Linked DNA regions of Sus scrofa. The protein of the gene in region 1 purifies or fractionates together with the protein of each later gene. This does not show direct contact. Links are inferred from orthologs where the notes say so. Each region holds a gene or a part of one and is shown in the gene's direction. Other genes may lie near its edges.

Region 1 (7,547 bases):
GAACCCTGGAGTAACTTGCCCCAAGTCACGCAGGGTGCCAGAGAGTTATCCAGGGTTTGAACTTGGGCCCTCTGTAGGACTCTAGAGCCTCTCCTTACTGTCAAGCTCTGCCACCAGGAGGAACATGAGGTAGTTGTCTTGCTCACTGTCATTTCCCCTGATCCTGGCACAGTACCTGACACATAGTGTAAGCTTATAACCAGATGCTGAATTTCTGTAGTGCCTTAAAGTACTACAGTGATGGTGCTCAGCGAGACATGGGCTCAGCACTCTAGTTCACAAGGATAAACTTTATCTGAGGGCTTTATACGTTTTTCCTTAAAATGTTATGGGTTATTTTTTCTAGATCTTAAAATTTCTACCAAATGATAAAACCAATCCAAATTTTATGTAAATATTTTTATTTTCTCAAAGTAGTTAGAATAGCACAGCACAGTATAAAGAACATTGGTTTCTAAATAGACCAGAGTTTGAATCCTGCCTCTACTTCCCACTTGCTGCTCAGCCTCGAACGTATTATTTTACAACTTTGAGCCTCTGTTTCTTTAACTGAAATAGGCGGTAACAATACTTAGAGAGTTTCCACGAGAAACAGAATGTGCTTTCAGTATTGCAAGTAGATGCTTAATATATATTAGTTTCTGTGATGATAGGACGCAGTACCCTAGTTTGGTTTGTATCTCTATTGCCTTATCTCCAAGGCAGACCATCACTCCAAGACAGACTTCTTGGCACTTTCTTCTGTTCCCTTCACACGTTGTGCTGTAGACATAGCTAATGTTTGTTGAACACTTACTAGTAGCTGTTGTATGTCCTTCTGGGTATTTTACACATGCTAACTCACTTGATCCCCTGTGAGGTGGTTACCTCTTTTTCATTTTGCAGATGAGGAAATTGAGACAAAGCAAAAGGTTTAATAACTTCCCCGAGGTCAGTACATCTAGTATGTGATGAAGCCAGCATTCAAAACAGGCAGCCCCTGTCTTCTAACCATAAACCTGTGCTGCTGTAGTTAATTCTTCTTGCTGCAGTCTAACCTCCTAATAACATGTGCTAGAAACTTCGACCTCACTCAGTCTCTTTCTTCCTACAGTGGTCCTTCTAGGAAGATGCTATCTCCATTTTACATGCACGACTCAGCCATCGCTTCAGCCTCACCTTTTCAATTTCTTTTACTGTGTCTAGCTTGATGGCTTCATAATTCACTCCCTTGCTGTGTTTCTCTTCCTTTTTCTTCTTGTCTTGTTTTGGCTAAAATATTCCCTTATTGCTAGTAAGCATGGATAAGAATAATGATTTAGAGATCCCATAAACTGTAAGATTTTTGAATTTAACTTACTTACAGTGAAGGACTAAGGTTCTTTAAACCATTGGAAGCCTCTTATAAAGTCTCCTTAAAGTTTCCATGTAGTTTCACCTATTCCTGATCCTGATCTAATTAACAAGCTTTTCTTCAAGGACCCAGCATGTGTAGAATACATTAAAGAAAAAAAAAATGCCGTTCGGTTTTATTGCTTTTCTTTTGCTTAATTATTCCTGTAACAGAAGATCCTTCTGTTTGCCCTTTAGGTTTACTTTATTTCAACCACTTCATACTTAAGGAGGCATTTGTGGCTTGTCTTGGGAACCCAATGACCATATTTAGCATGACTTCTATGGCAGCACTTGTTTAGTTAAAAATTTAAGTAATAAAATTGGTAATTTTGGGAGTTCCTGTCATGGCTCAGTGGTTAATGAATCCGACTGGGAACCAACCATGAGGTTTCGGGTTTGATCCCTGGCCTTGCTCGGTGAGTTAAGGGTCCCGCGTGGCTGTGGCTGTGGTGTAGGCTGGCGGCTACAGCTCCGATTGGACCCCTAGCCTGGGAACCTCCATATGCCATGGATGTGGCCCAAGAAATGGCAAAAAGACAAAAAAAAAAAAAATTGGTAACTTTGGCATACAACCTGTCGAGTCATTTTTGTGGCTGCGAGTGCTGCATGGAGGATGCATAAAGCAGACAAGGTCATCTTTCTTTCCTTGTATATAAATAAAAAGAGGAAGGTGGAAGAGGAATAACTTATATACACAGTGTATGTGCGCTCTCTGAAATGGCCTCTAGCTTTTTATAACTGCTTCTTTCTTAGTTAAAAAGCAAGCTTTTGGAGAAAGAGAAACACAGGCTCTTTTTCTGTCTTAAAAATAAACTTAGGAAGTTCCCGTCGTGGCGCAGCAGAAATGAATCTGACTAGGAACCATGAGGTTGCAGGTACGATTCCAGGCTTCGCTCAGTGGGTTCAGGATCCCGGCATTGCCGTGAGCTGTGGTGTAGGCTCGGATCTGGCGTGGCTGTGGCTGTGGTGTAGGCTGGCAGCTGTAGCTCCCATTTAACCCCTAGCCTGGGAACCTTCACATGCCATGGGTACGGCCCTAAAAAGACAAAAAAAAAAAAAAACAAAAAACCCTGAAAAACCAAACAAAAACCAAAACTTAAAGCAAAAATCAGAGGTATAAATTCTCAAATTTGTAATGTTTTCTTTTGCTCTTAAAGGAAGATGTAGATTCCTTCATGAAACAGCCTGGGAATGAGACTGCAGATACAGTACTGAAGAAGCTGGATGAACAGTACCAGAAGTATAAGTTTATGGAGCTCAACCTTGCTCAAAAGAAAAGGAGGTAAGTGCAAAAAGGATTACGTTTTTAAAATTAATATTGTGTGGCTTAAACTTTTAAAAGATCAAAACATAATTTACATACAAATAAAATGTCTGTGTGTTGGCTGTTCAGTTTGATGAATTTTGATAAACATATCCACTTGTGTAACCATTGCCCAGATCAATACATATAGGACATTTCTGTTACCCCAGGAAGTTCCCTCCCGCCCCTTTCCTGCCAACCCTGCCCACTCCCAGAGATAACCACTGTTACGATTATTTTCACCATGGTATGGTGTTGTGTCAGTAAATTAGTTTCTTTTTAGTGCTGAGTCATTTTTCATTGTATGTGGATGTAACCACAATTTTGGTCTATTTTTTGTCTGTTTGCCTGTTGATAGACATTGGGTTGTTTTCCCATTTGGTCTTAAGTCTTTGTGTGGACATATGCTTTCATTTCTCCTGGGTTGCCTAGGGGTGGAATTGCTGATGTGTATGGCAAATGTATGTTTAATCTTGTAAAAAACTGCCAGAAGTCCTCCAAGGTGGCTCTACCAGGTTGCACTGCCACCAGCAATTTATGGAGTTCCTCATTCTCGCCAGCACTTGGTATTGTCAGTCTAAATATGCTTATGGAAACATAATAGAAAGAATTTTTTTTTTTTTTTTGTCTTTTGTCTTTTTGTCTGTTGTTGTTGTTGTTGCTATTTCTTGGGCCGCTCCCGAGGCATATGGAGGTTCCCAGGCTAGGGGTTGAATCGGAGCTGTAGCCACCGGCCTACGCCAGAGCCACAGCAATGCGGGATCCGAGCCGCGTCTGCAACCTACACCACAGCTCACGGCAACGCCGGATCGTTAACCCACTGAGCAAGGGCAGGGACCGAACCCGCAACCTCATGGTTCCTAGTCGGATTCGTTAACCACTGCGCCACGACGGGAACTCCAATAGAAAGAATATTGAGGTCCTTAATTCCAAGGCCTCTAGGATCATAGCATCTTAAATGTCTGGTTCTTCCTTTTCATTTTGCTGAGGTTATAACTTTCCTAAGACTTCATAGCTAATAGACATAGGACCAAAGTACCCTTGCTCTCAATCCTGTATTCCCCTATATTTTTATAGTAGCTTATGAAGTCAGTTCATAGTGATGAATATTTATGGATCTGCTATGCACAGGTGCCAGCATTCTTCTGGCAGTTAAATATTTCTGGAATTCCTCATAGGTACCAGATATTATTTTGGGTGAAAGAAGGTCTAGTATCTGCTTTCAACAGTGACATAGTCTATAGGGGCCTGATAGGTATGTAAATAAGTATGCAGTCAGGGTGCTTGTGGTGCAGAGCAGTGAGCTAATGGCACAACAGGGGAAGGTGTGATCTGAAGGGTACAAAGGGCTCAGGGGAAGCTTCCGAGAGGAGCAGATGGCTGTGTAGAACTTTGAAGGCTGGTTATGAGTGTGGAGGCAAACTAAAGTGAGGAAGGGTGGTCTGGGCATGAGGGTACCACTTCTGCAAAGATAAAAAAGTTTATTTTTTAGGTATATTTTCCCATTTGATTTTGATGACAGTTGAGGAACTTTGAATAAGGGCTGGGTGTTACATGATATGAAAAGTCGTTGACATGGACAGATGAAGGTTGATGAAAGAAAAGGATAGAAAACGCTCTGTGCTCATTTTGGAAAAAATGTATATGTGCACAGAAATATCTGGAAGAAGGGACACTAATATTATATTAACATTGAAAATCTTTGGGTGGTGGGAATATGATATTTTTTCTTATTTGCAATTAAATGATTGTATTTCGGGAATGATCTGGGCTGGAGATAAAAACTGGGGAGTCATTTAAAGCCGGAGTCTAAATGAGCTGCATCACCAACAGAGTTTATGTAAAAACACAGATCGGGGCATTGCAACAGTATGAAGTTAGGGAGACTCAGTGGATCATAGGGTTCTGGAAGCCAAGCTAAGAAAGTGTATCATGGAGGAGGAAATGATCGCCTGGGCCAAATGCTGCTGATGGCTCACCTCAGTGGGATAAGGACTGAGAATGGACTCAGCAAAGTGGAAGTCACTGCTCATCTGGACGGGAACAGTGGTTCCAAAGAGAATGATAGAATTAGAGACAACAGGAGTTCCCGTTGTGGCGCAGTGGTTAATGAATCCGACTAGGAACCATGAGGTTGCGGGTTCGATCCCTGGCCTTGCTCAGTGGGTTAACGATCCCGCGTTGCCGTGAGCTGTGGTGTAGGTTGCAGACGCGGCTCGGATCACGAGTTGCTGTGGCTCTGGCATAGGCCGGTGGCTACAGCTCCGATTCAACCCCTAGCCTGGGAACCTCCATATGCCGCGGGAGCGGCCCTAGAAATAGCAACAATAACAACAACAACAACAAAAAAGACAAAAGACAAAAAGAAAAAAAAAGAAAAAAAAAAAAAAGAATTAGAGACAACAGATATGGAAAACTTTTGTGAAGAGTTTTATCCATTTTAATAGTGAGTTGGTTGTCTTTTTATTTGTAGGAATTCTGTATATATTGGACACTAGTCCTTTTAGGTTATATGTATGAGACATTTTTCTTTTGTAATGTATCTTTATTTCCCTTTCGATTCTTTTGATGAGTAGTTCTTTGCTTTTTGGGGGCTGCACCTGCGATATATGGAAGTTCTCAGGCTAGGGGTTGAACTGGAGCTATGGTTGCCGGCCTACGCCACAGCTGCATCCAAGCTGCATCTGTGACCTACACCACAGCTCACGGCAACGCTGGATCCTTAACCCACTGAGCGAGGCCAGGGATGGAACCTGAGTCCTCATGGATGCTAGTCAGGTTCGCTAACCGCTGAGCCACGACAGGAACTTTGTTTTCTTCTAAAAGCCTTAAAATGTTCCTTTTCACATCTAACTTCTTAAGCCATCAGAAATTTATTTTTATGTATGGTATATGGTAGGCTTCCAATTTCTTTATGTTTTTAAATAGATACACTGTGGACATACTGTTTGACTCAGCACTTTAATTTTAATGTACTCTGATTTAACAGTCTTTTCCCTTAATGTTTAGTGCCTTTTGTATCTGTTGAAGAAATAACCTAAGTTTGTGAAGATATTCTTAGTATTTTGTTCTCAAAGCTTTGTTGTTTTATCTTTCACACTTAGATCTGTAATTCATGAGATATTCAGAAGTATGTTGCTAAATTTCGAAGCAGTCATGGGATTTTCAAGCATGTTTCTTTGCTCTTTCTGTTTTGTACATTGATAGTTGTATCTGCAGTCTTGGGCCGCTCCTGCGGCATATGGAGGTTCCCAGGCTAGGGGTCTAATCGGAGCTGTAGCTGCCAGCCTACACCAGAGCCACAGCAACGTGTGATCCGAGCTGTGTCTACAACCTACACCACAGCTCACGGCAACGCCGGATCGTTAACCCACTGAGCAGGGGCAGGGACCGAACCCGCAACCTCGTGGTTCCTAGTCGGATTCGTTAACCACTGCGCCACGACGGGAACTCCACACGTTCTTTTTCTTTCTTTCTTTCTTTTTTTTTTTTTTTTTTTTTGTCAACAGTGCTTTGTAGGTTTGTACATTGCTTTTCCATTAAGAGTCAGGTAGTATCTAGTTCTCTTACGATGATACTCACTGCCTAGATCCATTAATTATGAGTTGCGAAATGACGATGTTTTAATTCAGTTATTTATTTTTTACTTATTAGTAAGTTGGCATACTTCTATAAAGAGAAATGTCCCTTCACGTACTGTTTGGTAAAAGTGGCTGCAAGAAATCAGCTCACCCCTCAGTTTGTTCCCTTGCAGGAGTAGCCCTGTAGTTCCTCTCACCTCAACAGCTGTCTGCTGCCTTGTTACTGAGGAAGTGTGTATTTTCTCTGGCTACTTGAACAGCTAGAGGTAGGAGTGCTGGTCTGCTGCCATCTTAACCTGAAACAATTTGTATCCTTTTTTTTTTTTTTCCCCTTTTTACTGAGGCATCTGCAGCATATGGAAATTCCTGGGCTAGGGATCGAATTGGGCCACAGGAAGGCCAGATCTGAGATCTGAGCTGCATCTGTGACAATGCTGGATCCTTCACCCACTGAGTGAGGCCAGGGATCAAACCTGCATCCTCAGGGAGGCAACATCAGGTCCTTAACCCAGTGAACCACAGTGGGAACTCCTTTTTTTTGTTTGTTTTTTTAAAGCTTTTTAGTCTGTTTTATTCAGTATATGCGGTTTGAAAATTATGTCTTCTTGGATTCTCTTGTGGTGTAGCAGGTTAAGGATCTGGCGTTGTCACTGTAGTGGTTCAGGCCACTGCTGTGGTGTGGGTTCGACCCCTGCCTAGGAACTTTTGCATATCACAGGCATAACCAAAAACAGAAAATTATGTCTTCTTGGTGAGTTTAACCCTATATAAAATCCAGCCTATCTTTTTAGATAAAGTAATTTTTTTTTTTTTGGATACTTTCAAGATCATCTCTTTTGGTTTTTTGTTTTGTTTGTTTTTGTTTTGGCCACATTTTTGGCATGTGGAGGTTCCCAGGCCAGGGATCAAACCTGCACTGCAGCTGTAACCAGAGCACACAGTGACAATGCTGGATCCTCAACCTGCCGAGTCACCAGGGAGCTCCACCATTGCTTTTATCTCACTATAAGTTGTCTATGTGAGCATATCTCTCTCAAACTCTTTCTTAACTAACTGTCAGCTTCCTGTAACCATGGTTACCTGTGTGGATTGCTTTTATCCACAGAAGATTTTTCTTTTGCTGTGAGCTGTGAGTCTGTATCAGCCGTGGACCACTTGAGGCCCATTAGAAGTTCTTTCACTTAATAGGAGAGCTCCCCCACTGAGCTGTGAGTCAGGGGCCCAGGCTCAGGTCTGCGGCTGGTACTGGCACCTACTTTTCTCTAGTCCTCACTATTCAACTCAAAGCT
Region 2 (8,071 bases), on another chromosome or scaffold:
AATGAATGCTTCAGGTTCTGTCTTACAAGATCAAATAACCTGAAGGTTAAGAACTTTGCAACCTGAAAAGCTCTGATGTCAGCAACTGCTAATCCCCCCCCCCAATATTTCTCTTTGAGTTCCTATTCATAATTACAGAATTCTTTGTGATTAGCTAGATACATAGTGGCCCATGATAATAACTACATTTCCCCCAGTCTTTCTTGTCATCAGGAATGGCCATGTGCTTCTGCCTGGGCCAATGTGATATGGACAGAGCCACACCTACAACTTCTGGGCTAGGCCTCTAAAGAGAAGGAGGGCGCCCCCTCATCCCTTTCCCCCTCCCACTAGCGAGGCTATGGACATGGCGGTGTTGAGTCATCTTGGATCACATGGAGAAGACAGAAGGAGCCTGGGAACTGTGCCGTTGTACACAGCACACACTTACCCTACCTTGCTTATGCCTGGATGGTTGTGACAGAGAAAGAGGAGCTTCTGTCTTGGTTCCGCCATTGCCATGTTGGATCTCTGTTGCAGCAGCTGACCTTATAGTCTAACTAATACAGTCCATTCACAGGGGGAAGGATTATTCTCATTACTCCTGCAGAGTGGCTTTGAGACTGCATTAGGCTAAATCGTAAGAATTAACTTTCTCTTCTCAGTAAAAGATATTATCATTGCTCAGGTCAAAACCTAGGAGTCTTGGAGTTCCCGTTGTGGCTCAGTGGTAATGAATCCAACTTGTATCCATGAGGATTCGGATTCAACCCCTGGCCTCTGAGTGGGTTAAGAATCTGGTGTTGCCATGAGCTGTGATATAGGTCGAAGATGTGGCTCGGATCTCATATTGCTGTGGTTGTGGTGTAGGCCGGCAGCTACCGCTCCAATTGGACCCCTAATCTGGGAACGTGCATATGCCACAGGTGCAGCCTTAAAAAGCAAAAGCAAAAGAAACAAAAGAAAACAAACTCCCCCCCAAAACCCCCAAATTAGGAGTCTTTATTTTTCTTTTAGATTTTTTCCCTGCTGCTGTGGGCAGGGAGGTCACAATGAAAGAAAGAGAGGGATCAAAGATGATTTGTAATCTCCTAATAAGTATGCTGAGTGAAAGATGGCTAAGAGTAACATGCTGTATGATTCCATGTCTATAAAGTTCTAGAATATGCAAACAAATCTAAAGAGACTTAAGAAGATCAGTAATTGCCAGAGAGATTGGGGGGGGGGAGACTAAGGGGGAAGCAGAAGGAGCATTAGATAACTTTTGTGGCGATAGATTTATTATCACAATTATGAAGATGGTTTCCTAGATGGGAACTTATCAAATTATACACTTTAATATATTCAGTTTATTATATGCCATTATACCTGAATAAAGATTTTTTTTTTAACAGAGAGTTTCCTGGTGGTCTAGCAGTTAGGATTTAGTGGTTTCATTGATGCAGGGTTTAATCCCTGGTCTGGGAAGTGAGATCCCGCATAAAGCAGCTGCCTGATAACTGTGTGACAAGTAATGTAAACAAAAACAAAAACAATAAAGGAAGAGTTTGCTGGACCTTGAAAGGCAAACACAACAATGCTAACTGCTACTTAATTACAACTATTTATCCAGTATCTACTTGTGCATTGTGTGAAACTTGGAACTTTTCACCTTGATCTTATTCTTTGCCCACATAACACTGTTAGGGTAATATTATTATTCTCTCTCTGTCTCTGTCTCTCTCTCTCTCTTTTTCTTTTTCTTTTCCCCCCAGGGCTGCACCTGCAGCATATGGAAGTTTCCAGGCTGAGAGTTGAGCTGGAGCTGGAGCCGTTGGCCTATGCCACAGCCACAGCAATGCAGGATCTGAGCCTCATCTTTGACCTACACCACAGGTCACAGGCAACACCGGATCCTTAACCCCTTGAACAAAGCCAGGGGTTGAGCCCTAATCCTCATGGATGTGAGTTGGGTACATTGGCACTGAATCATGATGGGAACTCAATAATATTGTTATTTCCATATTAAATAAGGAGACAAACTCTATTGCTACACAGTAAGTAGAACCAGACATATCTAGGCACAAGGTAGACCAAACCTTAGCTACCTTGGAATCTGTCTGGTTCTAAATTACCTGCCCTTTCCTCTCTCTTACAGGTTTTTAGACTAGGCAAAACATCCATTTCTTTCATTTCTAAAAGTCCAATTACCAGCCATCCCTCTGGTTCAAATGCCAGATATTTTACATAAGATTCTCAAAATGTGGTTTGCAGACCACTTGGGGCATTTGCAAAGGTGCAAATTTCTGGGCCCTGATCTCAAAGATTCTAAGTAATTAAGTTTGGGATAAGGACCAGAGAATCTCTGTGTGCGTGTTTAAAATATACATATTTTATTTTATTCATTAATTTTTTTGTCTTTTTGCCTTTTCTAGGGCTGCTCCCTTGGCATATGGAGGTTCCCAGGCTAGGGGTCTAATCGGAGCTGTAGCCACCGGCCTACGCCAGAGCCACAGCAACGCGGGATCCGAGCCACGTCTGCGACCTACATCACAGCTCACGGCAACGACGGATCCTTAACCCATTGAGCAAGGCCAGGGGTCGAACCCGCAACCTCATGGTTCCTAGTCGGATTCGTTTCTGCTGCGCCACGACGGGAACTCCAAAATATATATATTTGAAACAAACTAATTTGGTTTGTGAGAACCACTGTGTCAAGAAGGTCTTCCATGAGTGTTCAGTATAACTAAGTTCTTTGGAGGAACAGTTCGGCTAAGCCTTCCGGTTTTCTCTATATTGGCATGTATGAGGCGTGGGCTGAATTTTCGTTTTTTGTTTTTGTCTTTTTAGGGCCGCAACATATGGAGGTTCCCAGGCTAGGGGTTGAATCAGAGCTGTAGCTGTCGGCCTGCATCAGAGCCACAGCAGCCATCCCAGTCGTGTCTGTGATCTCCACCACAGCTCAGGCAACACCGGATCCTTAACCCTCTGAGCCAGGCCAGGGATCGAACCTGCAACCTCATAGTTCCTAGTCCGATTCGTTTCCTCTGCACCAGGATGCAAACTCCTGGGATTCTTTGTCCTCCCTGACAGCACAGGGACCCTGACTGAAGAGGTTTTGGCCTCATCTACATACATCTCAATTTAGCAGCACAAACTAAGGTATTTGTCAAAAATACTTAAAACCATGCACGAAATCTGCGCGTGGTGCGGTGTCTGGAAGGATGTGGAGAAACAGGCCAAGCCTATAGGTCACGAGAAACATGTGCTTTTAATCGGAATCTAGGGTTCTCTGGGTGGAGGGGGGATTCCTAGCGCTGGAGAGCGGAGGAAACCAAGCAGCTCGGCTCCTGCGCAGGCGTAGAAGGAAAGGGGACGATCCGCCAAGGCGCGCCCTTCCCCCACCCTTCTTTCCGGCCTTCTCCCAGCGCGCAGGCGCAGAGAGGGAATCAAGATGGCGGCTCCCGTGGATCTGGAGTTGAAGAAGGTAAAAGAGGGTTTTGAGCAGGCAGGCTTCTCTTTGGAAGCTAACGGGACCGTAGACAAGAATATCGAGTGAGACCCAAGTCCCGCGGAGGGAAGAAGGTCCCAGGGCATTGGGGAATGCTTTCCCAGAGTCCTTCAGGCGGGACTGGGTCGCCTTAGGCTGGAGTCGGGGCGAGCAGCTCTTTGCTGGAAGAGAGCTGGTAGGGCTGGGGCTGGTTAAGTCTGGCGGGCCGATAGCTGTTTTGAGTCCCTTGTTCCGGGCTCCAGAGCCCTTTCCTTGTTCTTGGAGCCTTCAGTCCTATTGTAAGGCCTGAAGTGAGCGTTTCAAGTTGGAGCCCCTTGAGACAGCTTGCCCGAGCTGAGGCATCCGTAATTCTGCATCCTAATTTGCTTTGACAAACTCCAGGTCCAACCTGTGTTTTTAGGCCACTTCTTCAATCCCGTACCTCTAAGGTCGCGACATACTCTTAAATCAGATATTCTCAGCACTGTTTGGCTCCCTCCCTAGCCCCTCCACCCCTCCCCTTTTAAAGGGTTTGTCAAAAAAGAAGCAAAGTCTAGTGAAAGTTTTCTAAATGGAATCGGTATCAGAAGGAATTGGGTTTCTCCCTTCCCATAGTTGCCTGTAAATGTGTTGTTACTCAGAGACGTTTTTGCCACTTAAAGAATTGTCAGGATTGTGACACCGCTACCAACTCAAAAGCATATCTTTTTTTTTTTTTTTTTTTGAGAGGGGGATGGGTTGGGGATTGGAAAGGATCTTAGACTTCATCTGCTCTAAACTTTTACTTTTCTAGAAATAAAAACAGTTACAGAAAAGACTCAGGCCATGGTTAGGATCAGAATCCAATATTTTCTGCCTTCCCGCCTTTTGGCCATTAGTTTAGGTACTTCAGAAGGGCATCTTGTACTAAAACCATTCCGGTCAACCTTTGTGTCAGACATAGGGCAGGTGAAATAGCTTTTGCACCCAATAAGCAAAGCTGTTTACTATTGCTCTGAGGATTTGTGTATGTCCTTTTTGCCATTTTTGTTTCGAAACTTGTATCTTTAGTCTTTACGTGGTCTCTAATGCTGTCCCATCTTAGCTTTAACAATATACTAGGTTCCTTAGCAAACTGTGTCGTAAAGCATCCTAAAAGCCCCCCTCCTTTTTTTTTTTTTCTGTTCAAATTAAGTCAGGGTTTAGTGAAAGAGCCAACAATAGAGTACAGCTGTGAATGGGTTTACCTCAGTATTATTTGAATTTGTTGCTAGGAAACCTGTGGGCAATGAATGCAAACTAAGAAAATGTTACGGACTTAAATTGATTGCAGACAAATTGATTACAGACTTAAACGATTATAGACTTAAATGAGTACAGACTTGAATTGGGTAGCTTTGACAACCAGTGAAATTAACTCAAAAAAACTTGTTTAAGGATATTCTAATGTCTTTATAATGTCTTTTTTTTTGGTCATTTTTGGCCACCCCACAGCATATGGAGCTCCTAGGCGAGGGATCAGATTGGAGTTACAGCTGCGACCTCAGCTGCAGCTGCAGCAATGCTGGATCCCTAATCCACTGTGCCGGTGGGGTTTGAACCCTCATCCCAGTGGCTCCCAAGACTCCACTGGTCCCGTTGCGCCACAGTGGGAGCTCGGGTCTTTTTTTTTTTTTTTGAGTGGAGACAAGTAGGACATTTTAGGCACCTCCTCTAACTCTAAACAAAATTTTGAAACCTTACTAGTAGGTGAGAACAAAGCCAGAGTAGAAGTTAAATAGCAGCTTTTGCCATGCATTGCAGCCACAAAAATTATTATTCAAGTATTAAGGCATAAATTTGACAGGATGTGAAAGTCATTCTAGGCTCTTCAACAAGAGTACCTAGGAGCTTTTTGAGTTAAGGGTACCCAAGGGTCAGATTTGGCTTGGTGTGTGCCTCTGTCATGATATAATTCTTCTTCCAGTGTTTCAAATATTTTCTTTTTTGTCCTTCTCTTAAAATATGCATTTTCTGAATATTACTATAGACAGCAGAACGGAAAGGTTTTTGAACTAGAAGTCAAGAAATGGACTTAAGAGCTCACTTTTAGACCTCTTAGTTGTTCAACCATGTGCAAGTCATTTATATCTCTTTCAAACATTTAGTTACTTAATTTATAAGCTGTGGTGATGAAACTGCTTGCCCTAACTCAGGATTGTTGAGAAGAGTAAATGAGGTATTTATTATTACATCTATTAGTGTTCTCATATTAATATTTACATATTAATAGTTCAAAAAATGTGGGAAAGTGCTTTGAAAACTAGTTGTAAAATATAAATGTAGTGAGTAGTTACATTTATGGTTCTTGTTTTGGATCTCTGGGTTTCATCCGCTGACTGTTGCATTTAGTGCCTATATTACTCCTTGGGTACCTGCTACTTGATATGTTTATTATTTACCATGTCTTTGTTCTGCTGCTTCAAATAGACAGCATCTTTTGAGGACTGGGTAAATTCAAAACAGTTGACCCTTGAACAACACAGGTTTAAACTGCGGGGATCCAATTGTACATAGATTTTTAAAGGTATTACTACAGTACCACACACTGTGTGATTGGTTGAAATCCAGATGTAGAACCAAGGATACAGAGGAACTGCTATATGGAGGGTCAGCTGTAAATTACACTGGGATTTTTTTTTTTTTTTGGCCATGCCTAAGGCATGTGGAAATTTCTAGCCCAGGGACTAAATGTGCTCCACAGCTATAACCAGAATCACAGCAGTGACAACTCCAGATCCTTAACCTCCTAGCCAGGAGGAAACTCCTGTACTCAGCATTTTGACAACATGGAGAGTCAGTGCCCCTAAGCCTTGAGTTGTTCAAGAGTCAAGAATATTTAGCATAGTGGCTTGATCATTTATAATTATATGAACGTTTATTGATGTTTGCGCAGGTAACAAACATCAAATTTTATAACTTTGTCTCAGCAGGCTTTATTTTAATATGTTTAAATTTGACTTAAATATTTTCTGTAAAATGTTTCACTTACTAAATCAAGGACTTTTTTTTTTTTTTTTAAGGCCTTCACAGAGCTTCAAGCTAAAGTTATTGACACTCAACAGAAGGTGAAGCTTGCAGACATACAGATTGAACAGCTCAACAGGACAAAAAAGCATGCACATCTTACAGATACGGAGATTATGACTTTGGTAGATGAGACCAACATGTATGAAGGTGTAGGAAGAATGTAAGTAAAATATATCCTTAAGGGGGTTATCTTGGAAGAGGTTTTGTCTGGATTAAATTGTAAAATTTGTTCACTTTAAAATTTAAATTAAAATATCAGAGTAGCTTTAAAGATTGTCTAGTCAATATCTTCTTTTTTTTTTTTTAAATGAGAAACTGATGTCTTTAATTTTTTTCTTTCTTTTTTTTTTTTTTTTTTTGTCTTTTGTCCTTTCCTAGGGCCGCTCCCACGACACATGGAGGTTCCCAGGCTAGGGGTCAAATCGGAGCTGTAGCCGCCGGCCTACACCAGAGCCACAGCAACGCAGGATCTGAGCTGCATCTGAGACCTACACCACAGCTCAGGGCAATGCTGGATCCTTAACTCATTGGGCAAGGCCAGGGATGGAACCCGAAACCTCATGGTTCCTAGTCGGATTCATTAACCTTTGAGCCGCAATGGGAACTCCTAATTTTTAACTTTGAAGTACATTTTTAAAATATTTATTTCCCTGTTCTTCTCTCTACTTACGTACATAAGCGTGTAACTTGAATGATAAAAACATGATTTGTTATGAAAAGATGTTTATAGTAGTTTTATGGGTGAAGATTGATTTAAGCAGTTGTAGTTTTAACCTCCCCTTAGCAACCTAATTATTAGTAGTCATTCACATTATAAATCTTTTAGTTGTTTGACTAGTGTTGTGAAATAAAAATACTCAGTTGTCATTTAAATACACTCATTCTGTCATACATGAGAAATCTAGTAAATCAATTTACCTATTGTTCTAATTATTATTATATGATTAACCACCTACATTTCACTTTTTTCCTTTTAAAAATATATTACCCTTATGGGAGTTCCTGTCGTGGTGCAGTGGTTAACAAATCCGACTAGGAACCATGAGGTTGAGGGTTCTATCCCTGGCCTTGCTCAGTGGGTTAAGGATCCAGCATTGCCCTGAGCTGTGGTGTAGGTCTCGGATGCAGCTCGGATCCTGCGTTGCTGTGGCTCTGGTGTAGGCCGGCGGCTACAGCTCCGATTTGACCCCTAGCCTGGGAACCTCCATATGCCGCGGGAGCGGCCCTAGAAAAGGCAAAAAGACCAAAAAAAAAAAAAAAAAAATTACTCTTTTGAGAAAAAATAGACCTGCTTTTTGTTTTCTAAGTAGTTAAATAGGAATGGAGAAGCCCTTAGCTACAGGTCACATTCCATCACAATGAGCTCAAAGAGACAGATTTTTTTTTTTTTTTTTTTTTCTTTAAATAAGTAAGAGAGGTACAGGAGGAGGGTTTTCTGAATTTTGGTCTTTGAATATTACTTACTAAGTGGACCATTACTTAAGTTTGGAGATCTTTTAGTTAGAAAGGAATTTGACCTCAGTCTTAGGATGACTTGTTTTGTGATTGATTGGAAGGAAGCATAACATGTGTAAC

The links. Proteins that work in one complex are often made in the same cells at the same time.
Region 2: the proteins of VBP1 (region 1) and PFDN1 purify together in Homo sapiens (affinity purification with mass spectrometry; 4 studies listed by BioGRID and IntAct, counting the BioPlex papers as one, with this or other methods). This does not show direct contact. The link is inferred for Sus scrofa from reciprocal best matches to the Homo sapiens genes VBP1 and PFDN1.

Annotation. Positions count from the first base shown.
Region 1 is NC_010461.5:125,486,676-125,494,222, forward strand, and holds part of VBP1 (prefoldin subunit 3), read left to right. Parts: intron 1-2,531; coding exon 2,532-2,656; intron 2,657-7,547. UniProt on the Homo sapiens protein: Binds specifically to cytosolic chaperonin (c-CPN) and transfers target proteins to it. Binds to nascent polypeptide chain and promotes folding in an environment in which there are many competing pathways for nonnative proteins.
Region 2 is NC_010444.4:142,073,226-142,081,296, reverse strand, and holds the start of PFDN1 (prefoldin subunit 1), read left to right. Parts: upstream 1-3,296; 5' UTR 3,297-3,412; coding exon 3,413-3,445; intron 3,446-6,489; coding exon 6,490-6,656; intron 6,657-8,071. UniProt on the Homo sapiens protein: Binds specifically to cytosolic chaperonin (c-CPN) and transfers target proteins to it. Binds to nascent polypeptide chain and promotes folding in an environment in which there are many competing pathways for nonnative proteins.